3 linked regions of the Danio rerio genome follow. The protein of the gene in region 3 binds, or shares a complex with, the protein of the main gene of each other region. Links are inferred from orthologs where the notes say so. Each region holds a gene or a part of one and is shown on either strand. Other genes may lie near its edges.

Region 1 (3,758 bases), on a different chromosome or scaffold from region 3:
AATATGCATCTAGCCAGTTGTTCATGAAAAACAAAATCTATTTTTTAAAGGGTCACAAAACACCAAAACACATTTTTTGAGCTGTTGACAGTCATATAAGTGTCCCACACTGCTAAAAACACTATTAAGACACATATATCTCACTAAAAAGTGAAAATTGGTTGTTTTTGCGTTATTTCTAGCTAATTCGTACTTCCGGTTTGTAACAATTTTTTTAAGCTGCGTCACGGCCATGAGATCTTAGCGTGTATTCCAGCGTGTAGACTGGACGTCTGTACCTGGGAGTGTCTTATTACGTCTATAAGTGTGCTGCATTAATGCACGAGTAAGATTCGGTTCAAACCAATCAGCGCACTCTATTGTGCAACTTCACTAACATTCATTAATGTTACAGTGTTCAGACAGCAGAGACGCCACATTATGTTGGCAAAACAAGCGTGAAGGGTTGCTTTTATAATTTGCTGCAGTGAAGGTTTTGTTTTCATTTTCTCTGTATGAGCGCACAGCTGGACCACGTGTGGATTACAGTGCATGCGACAACAATGCATGTCTAAGGAACTTTTTTTTTTTTTTACCCGAGAACTTTTCTCATCTGGAAATGGTGAGATCCGGATTTGCCGCTCGTCTCCTCTTAATAAAGACGCGGCTCTAGTTGGTGTTGTTTGTCCTGTCTCTACAGATTTGATAAGGGAGCGAACAGTGCCCTTTGCTTTTTCAGATGGCAAAGTTAGTTTGTATCGAACTAACTGTTACACGGAGTGTGAACATGTTAGCACCACAATCAAACTTACCATCGTGTAGGATTTTCACTGCATTTTGTGACAGGAGTAACACACACGACTTTCTGACCCTACCTGCCGAGTGCATCTAAGTTATTGAGAAATTCAGAGGTTTTTTTTCCCTCATTTGCTGTGCCGTATCAAACATTGCATGAAAGATACAAGCTTAGAGCAGTTCCTCAAATCAAATACCTCGTTTGTCACGAGGGGCATGAAGATATTCCCTGAATAAAAGAGCCAAACTGCAGTTAATGTCCACCATTTAATAATTTGTCAAATAATTTGATTACTGATGTCCACGTAAACACAGTCAGTCTTTCTCCCCTGTGTGTGTGTGTGTGTGTGTGTTTTGACTCTGAAAATCAGCACGTGCCCAAAATGACACTCCCATTTTTATGCAAATTTTTACAGAACCCTCTTTAATTTGCTCCTCCGACACTCCCTCCTAAACAGAGCTGGACACGCCCACTTTCCTGACTTTTTCCAAAGTAGAGGTGTGAAAACACCCTCTGAAACAAGGAGGTTTCATGGCCCTATAAGACTGAATGGCTTTTTTGCATAGCCAATTGTAAGTACATTATCTTACTTATAACATGGCAACTTGCCACAAAAGAAAAAAATCAGACAAAATAATGATCTGAGCCATAATAATTAACTAGCAGCACTTTTTTTTTAAATGAAATTTAGTGCTGTGGGAATTACTTAAATAACAAGGTGCTTTTCTATGTGCCTGTATGACCAAAGATTAGAATTCTAATTAGAAAGATGAGCAGTCTTTATTGTCCACACATGTGGAAATTCATATTTGGCCTCACAAAATGTTACTAAACATCATATGGCTTCCTACACCATGGATTACCAACACACAACCCTGTTTCTAAAACCACAAACAGATTCACAGTGTCACAGAACAACATATAAACTACTTCATGGTCATTTGTTCAATATAGTCATAGCTGATGTATAAAAGATTTCCTTAAAAATGTTTGTTTTAGCTGCAGGTGTTTTTCAATTATAAGATGTATTTCACATAGTGCTGGGGGAAAATTAATCGTGATTAATCGCATAAAAAAATGTTTTTTTTTTTTTTACATAATACGTGTGTGTATTGTGTATGCTTATTATGGACATATAAACATAAAGATGCATACATTTAAGGAAATAATTATTTATATTTACATATAAAATATATATGATGCAAATAATAAATTTTAAATATCTATGCAAAATCTATACCTTTATGCATGAGTGTATTTCACATACACAATAATTATATAAATATATATAATGCACAAGTATTGCTTATGTCAAAACAAACTTTTATTTTGGATGTGGCTAATCACAATTAATCTTTAACTTAGAGTCGTTTTTCAGGTTTTTAATAAATCTGTTTAAATTCAGTTTGGTTTGATGCTTGTATGTAAGGCCAATGCTGGCTTTATTTTGTTAATAATAATAGTAATCTGTATAATAACATTAATCATATTAATCTGGCAAAATTCGTGCTGCCAGTCAACCGGTCCGCATGAGCACCCCAAACACAATATTTTGACTAAAGTTAGTAAAGAGGACTAGTAAGGAGTGCTTTACTCCTTAGCCAAACAAACAAATAAATAAATAAATAAACAAACGAATTTAGGACACATTTTAGTTTCATAAACGTACCCTTCTGTATACTCCGCTTGAAGGAGACCCAAATACGCCTCCCATTTGTTCCCAACAATTTTCCCACAAGTGAAGCAGCGAACAGGGATGATCATGATGAAGGACGAGTTGCCTGAATTGAAAAAAAAATGTAGAGGTTTATTTAATAACACACAAGTTTGTGCAATTCAGACTGCGTAATAACGAATACAAGTAACACAAAACTCAGTAACTTAATAGATGTTGAGCTATAAATGTACACAAGAATGTAACACTGAAGCAGTCTACAGCAACATACAGTAACACTGAATACGTGACAGTGCGGTTCAGCTCGAGATTATTTCCTTATATGCGAACTCAAAACTAAACCCCAAATATTACACCCTCTCATTTTGACTAAAGAAGCGAGCAAATTAGAAAACATTACCAAAACAATCTCGCACGCTACACACGTTCCTCTTGCGCGGCTTATAACAGATAGACTTCCGTGTTGCGTCTTTCTAACACGCTCGGGTGAAAACAAGGTTATAGGAAACGTTCCGTGAAGCGAAATGAGCAACATACGAAAACTTTCTTCTTCTTTTGTTTTAGTGGCGGGCTGGTGTTGAGAAAACTCCTTCAAAATGTGTGAGGTATAATCTTTAAAAAGTAAAAGTAAGTAAGCAAGAAAATATTTATTTATGTAGCACCTTTCCTAGACGTTGAGTAACAAATAGCTTTACAATTAGAGAAAACAAGTAAAAGAACACATATCAATAAAAGAAAACATGTTAAAACACATTAAAACAAGTAAAAAATCCAAATACAGAAACACTAATACTATGAATTAAATGCTTGACCAAAACAATGCGTCTTTAAATGCTTTTTAAAAAGATCAACTGATCCCAGAGTTCTCAGTGCTATAGGGAGAGAGTTCCATAGATCTTGAATATATTGGGGTGCTTGACCATGCAAAGCTCTACATGTATAACACATATTATGCACATATAATGCTAATAGCAATATGATTATTATGTATATCCCAAAACCATCTTATATTTTAGCTTTTACAACACTTCAGAATAAGGGCGTCTTATGTACGCTGTAAAAACCAAGCAGCAACCTCCGGCTCTCCATTGGGAAGCCAATACAAAATACATAGACTCTCCTCTGGGGGCTTGCTCCAGCAACTCCACATGTTCTCTGACTGCAATGCTAAACTGGCCAATTTTACAGCTGATAAAAACATGTTTAAAGCCTGGTACAATAGATGGTTTTGGTGCTTATAGCTAATACTACTCTTCATGACAACTGTGAGGGGCTGAATTTTTTTATTACTCATCCGTTTAGCATTTA
Region 2 (3,758 bases), on a different chromosome or scaffold from region 3:
GCAGAACAATTTGGTCGAAATTAATTAAAACCAGTCAAACTATGGTATACCTTGAAAACTGCTATTGTCCCATGCTTAATATCAACGCACGTTTATATTCCCATTGTTTGCACATTTCTGCTGTGTAATATAGATTTAGAGTATATAGATACACAATACAGAGTAAAAAGGTCCAGAGCTTATCATTGTTGTGACATAAATTGTATCGCAATTCGATACAATATCGTTTATCGGCCCAGCTCTACATTAGTCCTATTTAATTGTTATTTTTTTCTGAGAAAAAAAATATGAAATATCATTAAATTTGTTTTACCATGATAAAAAGACACACACTACAATATCATTCAGTGAAACCACAGTCAGAACAAATTTCTCCTTTTGCCAGAAGTTTTTTTTTTTTAAACAAATAAATAAACAAACAAAATTAATTGATTACGGAACACAATATTTTGACATACACGTGATTTAGAAAAGCGTGTTTGCTTAAATTGTATTCGATTATATTTGTTTGTGTAATATATACACAAAAGCTAGAGACTTGTAGCTTTTCAACAACTATTAATCAAGACAATATATTAAAGAATAAAACCCCATTCTCCAGCACTACAATAGCAAAAAAAAACTTAATTCATAGATAATGTTTTATGCTAGCCCACACACCCGTAATTAATCAGTTATGTCGCTTTAAACTAACAAACGATTTAAGACGTAACACATTAGCACTTAGTTAGCTAATCCATTAGCCCAAAATAGGCAGCGTGTGGTCAAAACACTACGACATTACATTGCTGAATGTTTTATGACGGAATATAAAGTGTATTATCACTTCTCATGTCGATTGTGGTTTTTAATAGTATTAAATAATCGCAAATACCTCGAAACACTGTTTGAAGCAGTTGGATTTGACTGCACCTGCCAGATAGATTGTCTACAACGTCATCAACTCGCGACGAATCTACTGTTTTGACGAAGGACCCCAACATGTGGAACTGCCTTGAGTAAAAACCTCTCAGTTTGTAGAGAAGTTTGTATTTGGTTTGTATTTGTTACTATAACTAGCGTACATATCGCAAGATTTTTGCATCTGGTAATATTTAAGACCGCCGTGTTGGCGCTTTTATAAGTAAGTTTCTAGTTTTGATTAACGTTATATAAAAAATGTATGTACGTATGTGTGCGTGTGTAGTTTTTATAGATTATTAATTTATTACAGGAAACTTTACAATACAATATATAATACTGCAATACTATAGTAGTCTCCAATTTATTTTTTAATAAAAAAAACGATTTAAATCACTAGTTTTGGTCAAAAACCAATAAACTATGGGTAGTGTAGCAAAACATGGTGAGTTTGTAGTTCTTACGTGATTTACTAAAATTACCATGTTTTTATATTATTTGTGTTATTGTACTATGGTTAATTTTTGTTATTGGTGACTAAAGTCTAGTTACTAACATTTTTTTCTCTCCTTTAAGAAATGTCGTGTTTTAGAGGAGATGTCGACTTTTGTCCTGAATGTGGAAACATTCTTCCACTACCCAGCAGGCTGAATACTATCACCTGCCCACGATGCTCCTTCAAAATCTCTGTTCAAGGTGAGAGTAAGATTAATATGTCATAAGTAATTTATATAATATTTTATGAGATTATATATTGGCCCTGTTTCAGAAAGGAAGTTAAGTAATAGCTCAGAGTATGTTTAACCCTGAAATGAGAGAAATTTTGGGTTTTCCGTTTTAAAATGGCAGGTTTGTCAAACTCGAGAAAGCAGGGTAAGTCAAGCCTGTTTCTGAAAGAGAGGTAACTTTGACTTGGTTGTTGCTAGATCGAATATGTTTACGGCTGGAAGGTGAAGAGAATTATTTATATTATTTATTAAATCCCCCGTTTATTGTATTTTATTAACATCTACCCTCACCCCAACCCTAAACTCAACCAACAAAGTAATGTAGAAACAGTAGTTGTACTGGGTATAATTTACGTTACCTATTAAATTATACAATAAATTGTATTTTTTAACGCCTTCCCCCAGCCCAACCCTAAACCCCACCGTCACAGTATTGTACAAATATTCATTATTGTTATACAGTGTCATAACAAAATGCTGCTATATTGATGTGCAGATCGCACTTTCGGCCAGCCGTGTATCCGATCTAGACTTTACCCTTTAACTCAGAGTCAGTTACCGTGGTAACTTACTCTATGAACCTAACCTGGTCAGGAGCCGGTTTTATTCTCTAAACTCTGAGTTTCTGTTGGTCTCCTCCCCTTTTTTAAAGACAGAGTGTATTTCTCACCTTGGCCTTGGTCATTCATTGCCTACATTTCAGTCACACAAAGAACATGGTTATGAGAATGGCTTGTACTTTTTGGGAACATTACAATTAGATTCAATACCATAGTTTTAAGTTTTAGCTTTGATATTACTGCAAAAAATAAATAATTATTAGAATAATATAATTATTATTTTAAATTATTATAATAATAATTATTATTTTAAAATAAAATAATTATTTAGAACGATTATTACTAGTTTTAAAAACTATTTTTAGTACTGCTAAAGTCTAAATGTTACTTACATTCTAAATGTTATATCAACCTCTACCACTTGATCAATAATAAAGGCAGACACACAAGTGCACTTTCAAATCTTAAACTGATCAACGTGTGTAAAAGTGGGAACCTTAAATTAAACATTTCCACTGAACATTAAGCTAAGGTTATATGCATTTTTTGTCAGATTTGTTGTAGAAACTATGCAGCAGCCTATTTTATGTAATTTAATGCAATTACATTTGAAATGACTTCAAAATTGGTGACGCGGTGGCGCAGTGGGTAGCACGTTCGCCTCACAGCAAGAAGGTCACTGGTTTGAGCCTAGGCGGGGTCAGTTGGCATTACTGTGTGGAGTTTTCATGTTCTTCCTGTGTTGTGTGGGTTTCCTCCAGGTTCTTCGGTTTCCCCCGCAGTCCAAAGACATCACATGCGCTATAGGTGAATTGCGTATGCTAAATTGTCTGTAGTGTATGTGTGTGAACGAGTGTGTGTGGATGTTTTCCAGTGATGGTTCAGGCTGGAAGGGCATCTGCTGCGTAAAAAACTGCTGGATAAGTTGGTGGTTCATTCATCTGTGGTGACCGCAGTTTAAAAAAAACCAAGCTGAATAGAAATTGGGCGAGGCAGTGCTGTCGCCTCACAGCAAGAAGGTCGCTGGTTCGAACCTCGGCTCAGTTGGTGTTTCTGTGTGGAGTTTGCATGTTCTCCCTGCCTTCGCGTGGGTTTCCTCCGGGTGCTCCGGTTTCCCCCACAGTCCAAAGACATGTTGTACAGGTGAATTGGGTAGGCTAAATTGTCTGTAGTTTATGAGTGTGTGTGTGAATGTGTGTGTGGATGTTTCCCAGAGATCGGTTGTGGCTGGAAGGGCATCCGCTGCGTAAAAACTTGCTGGATAAGTTGATGGTTCATTCCGCTGTGGCGACCCCGGATTAATAAAGGGACTAAGCTGACAAGAAAATAAATTAATGAATGAAAAGAAATTGAACGACTTCAATGACTTCAAAATTATGGCCAATTCCCCACTTTTTCAAGGTAAAAGTGTATAAACATCACGCATTACTTGTTCTTTTATTACACTTAAATATTTAAATACTTTAAATGTTTTAGATTTAAGCATACACATTAACTTGTGCAGCTATCTTTTTTTCACGCTAACTGTCTCTGTTTCACTAATGCAGTTGTGTTGCTTTTTTTTAATATA
Region 3 (3,658 bases):
GCAGCGCTACTATTATCCTGAAATGCAAAGTTTATGTCAGGAAATCAGTGGAATTTTAGTTCATTGCTTGTGATACTTCACACTTGTGATACTTTACAAATTCACGTACGTAAACAAATCCTGAACAAAGAATGGCAGTACCTACAGGCATTATAATAAATGGTGGTCGGGTTGCAGACGAAGGATGAAAGTGAAGAGTGGAGTATGTTGTGGATGAAAGTGTAGAGGGTTGTCGGTAAAATGAGGTGCCTGATCAGATTTCAAAGGTGCCGTGTTACGGCACAATTTAAGCCCTGTATATGGACCTTAAAAGGTCATGATCCTCATTCATTGAGTAATTGTGTTATATTTTTATTTCACATTCTTCAGTAAATATAACCATTCAAAATAAATTTCCAGAAGAATGTGAAGTAAAAAATATAACACAATTACTTAATGAATGTCGTTCATGACCCTTTGACTTATTGTGTTTATAAGATTAACGCACCAAAACTTACCAACACAGAAGCACAGTGCATACTTCAGTATTGAACTTAATAGCTACCTTTGGACTTTGGAGCAATGCAAAATGACATTGACACTTCTAAAACATAACAGACCCAGTGACGTTTTATTTATTTATTTGCAACCACAGTTTTTTGTTTTCATGTAGCATCCTGGTTAAAAGATGATTAAGTCTTTCACTGATGGTTCACGCAAGGGCGTAGGTTTGCGCTTGACATTGGTGGGGACTGGGGACGAGTCACCCCCCCAAGAATGAATATATACATTTTTTTTTTTTTTTAAATATATATATATATATATATATATATATATATTGCTATTTATTATTTAACTGCTATTAAAATGTATTATTAAGTAATCCTCTCTTCTTACAATTTATTAAGTTAAATGAAATAGTCATGCGTATAGCCAAGGGGGGTCAGGTAGTTTGAAAGACCAAAAGTTGTATTATTATTATTATGTTTGAATTTTTCTTATTATTCAAATGGACAGATTTTCACTCAGGAAGGTTGAATGCGCCGGCCAGTTTGTTATTTGCCCATAGGCTTCAGTTTTTAATTTAAATCAAATTTTAACAGATTTCCCAAAGAAAATTATGATAAAAAATTGTATTTTAAATATAAGTATATTTGCATATTTGAAGAGTTTAGATGCAAAAACCTCTAAATGCCATTTAATATTTACTTCTAAAATTATAATTTTTCTCCAACTCCTGTGTGTGGATTTTACTTTTATAGTGACAAATACGTTCTTTTCATTGCCTTTAAAGTAAAATAACTCAACATAAATATACAAGGCTGAGAAAAATGCTCATTTTACATGGCATTTAGAGGTTTTGGCATCTGTACTGTACTTCATTACTTTATTCTAAGAATGTAAAGTCCTAATTTCTAGTTCAAAGTATTTTTATTATTTATAAAACTGTAATAAAACGTACAGTTTAAATGTGTGAATAAAGCAATTTGACAAAATGGTAGGAAATAGTTTTTGGTACATCAAAAAGTGTAGTTGTAATAACTATCCAACAAGATTATCCAGCAAAAATTAGTTTTTAATATGTCACTAAAATGTCATATTTATACCTCAATTAAACAGAAAATCAGGTGAATAACTGCAAAAAGGTTCAGTTTTTCAGAAAACAAATAACCCTTTTCAATAAACTGGCTACAGGCCTGAAAGTGTTATGTTAAAATAATGTTTATTAACTGATAAAGTGAGAGTTTAATAAAGACTTTCGTTCATTTTTCGTACAAATTAAACATGTCTCATAGTATTATTAAAAGATGGAGCACAGGCTGTAGTTTTTCTGACAAATTGTTTCAACCAAAATTGGAGATGTTACTCTAAGAGATTAGGAGAACTGGCAGGGTCATACGTTTACATGTAGGTGTTTATTCTGCAGTTAGTTTTCAGGGAATATTGTTTACAGACTAACGTTAGTCTGTTTTAACGTTAGATTGAACGTAAAAGCGGTGAAAACACTACCATAACGGCATTATCATGATGGACTCATTCAGAAGCGAACTTGAGTTTATGTGACTTACACTTTTCGTTGGAAAAAGCTCTTTATATCCACCTTTTCTTGCTACCTCCATCCTCTCTTGTGCGAGGCACACACCTCACACATCGGGAAATTCCCCCCCGCGCAGTTGTTTTGGCGCAGTTTGTATCTGAAACCATGATCTGAAAGCAGCCACTCACATGACAGCAGGGAAAGGCACAGCCAATCACAATGTTCATATGTGTTTGGGGGCGGTGCGACTTGAGGAGAGAACGTGATTTAACCCTTTCGGCATGTCTAGGTTTATACTGACAGCGCGATGTTTTTAAGTGAATTAAATTATTGGTGGGGACATTTCAGTAGTTTGTGGATATTGGTGAAGACACGTCCACCGTCCACCCTAAATCTACGCCCCTGGGTTCACGATTCATTTATTGGCCCAATTCCATAGAACCATTACACAACATTGCATCATGAATGCATCACTGTAAGAACTATAGAGAAAACAAAAAAACAAACTATCAAACACAAATGAAACACGAAAATTAAAATACTAAGCCAACATCAAAAATCAAACATTAATCTTAAACAAATTAAATAAATCAAATTACCTTATTTTCCCTTAAGAAAGAGCTAAAACTCATAAATGGGGAATCCGTGAATTAGCCGTTTACCCGTGCCTTTTTGCCGTGTTTCACCTAGAGTTCCATGCCTGGCGTGCTTTGCTTCATGTGCATTACTATACATGCCATATATTCGGTAGGCTCCGTAATCTCTGTGTCATAATTAGTCCCCAACCATAACTTAATTCATTCAACAAAAATCAAACCATGTACAAAATAAAACCAAATAACAAAAAATGTAAATCATAAACAATAATGACACATTTCACGTTTCATTACAGTTCATGTTAGATGTATTATCAGTAATGACCTAATGTTTAATAAATAATAAATAACAAGAAAGACATCTGATTTTGCAATCATCTGTTTCTTGCAGGATGGTCGCAGAAGGCCATATTCCTTACTTGCACCTTCACGAAACATTTCCAGCAGAGATGAGAATGTTCGGGAAAGATGTCCAAATCTTTCGGGTTCTGGTGAGGAACATATAAACAGTTCTCACTTCACCACTCATGAATCAATGTGTTTCATTCTATACCAACTTCTCTTCTTTAGTTCTTTCCATCTTATGCGTTCATCAAAAAAGAAGCTTTAGTTCTGGCAAAGATCATGAAGTTGCCGTCCTTCCCAACAATTTCTCAGGATTGTCTTTTCCACCCAGTTCCACTCACTGTCCGCTATCTGCTAGAGGCAAACCTTCCAGGTGAGTGTTTTTTTTTTCACTGTAGTGGAGACGTTGTGGTAAATTATGAAAATGGATTTCAAACAAATCTATCCAACCCATATAATCCTCTTTTTTTTGTGTGTGTTTGATACACTCCTGACTCTGCATGTTCATTTTAGATGCTCTTCATGTTTGGGTCCAGAAGGTTATAACTGGAGCTGGTATGGATAGCGATTCCTTTCTGACGTTTGACCCCACTGATAAGAAGCCTCATCTCTTGAGTTATGATGTTCAAGCTGTAGCTGTCATTATTGTGGCCATGAAGCTCCTTTTCAAGTTGGATGATCATGTGGAATGGTTTGTCAC

Evidence for each region.
Region 1: taf1b (region 3) and polr2l share a complex: the UniProt entries of both Homo sapiens proteins name them as parts of the pol I pre-initiation complex. The link is inferred for Danio rerio from reciprocal best matches to the Homo sapiens genes TAF1B and POLR2L.
Region 2: taf1b (region 3) and polr1h share a complex: the UniProt entries of both Homo sapiens proteins name them as parts of the pol I pre-initiation complex. The link is inferred for Danio rerio from reciprocal best matches to the Homo sapiens genes TAF1B and POLR1H.

Annotation. Positions count from the first base shown.
Region 1 is NC_133182.1:13,341,436-13,345,193, forward strand, and holds the start of polr2l (DNA-directed RNA polymerases I, II, and III subunit RPABC5), read right to left. Parts: upstream 2,925-3,758; 5' UTR 2,851-2,924; intron 2,557-2,850; 5' UTR 2,540-2,556; coding exon 2,445-2,539; intron 1-2,444. UniProt on the Homo sapiens protein: DNA-dependent RNA polymerase catalyzes the transcription of DNA into RNA using the four ribonucleoside triphosphates as substrates.
Region 2 is NC_133194.1:29,753,804-29,757,561, reverse strand, and holds the start of polr1h (DNA-directed RNA polymerase I subunit RPA12), read left to right. Parts: upstream 1-957; 5' UTR 958-998; exon of another isoform or gene 999-1,123; intron 1,124-1,476; 5' UTR 1,477-1,478; coding exon 1,479-1,596; intron 1,597-3,758. UniProt on the Homo sapiens protein: Core component of RNA polymerase I (Pol I), a DNA-dependent RNA polymerase which synthesizes ribosomal RNA precursors using the four ribonucleoside triphosphates as substrates. Can mediate Pol I proofreading of the nascent RNA transcript.
Region 3 is NC_133195.1:32,278,975-32,282,632, reverse strand, and holds part of taf1b (TATA box-binding protein-associated factor RNA polymerase I subunit B), read left to right. Parts: intron 1-3,004; coding exon 3,005-3,104; intron 3,105-3,183; coding exon 3,184-3,331; intron 3,332-3,471; coding exon 3,472-3,649; intron 3,650-3,658. UniProt on the Homo sapiens protein: Component of RNA polymerase I core factor complex that acts as a GTF2B/TFIIB-like factor and plays a key role in multiple steps during transcription initiation such as pre-initiation complex (PIC) assembly and postpolymerase recruitment events in polymerase I (Pol I) transcription.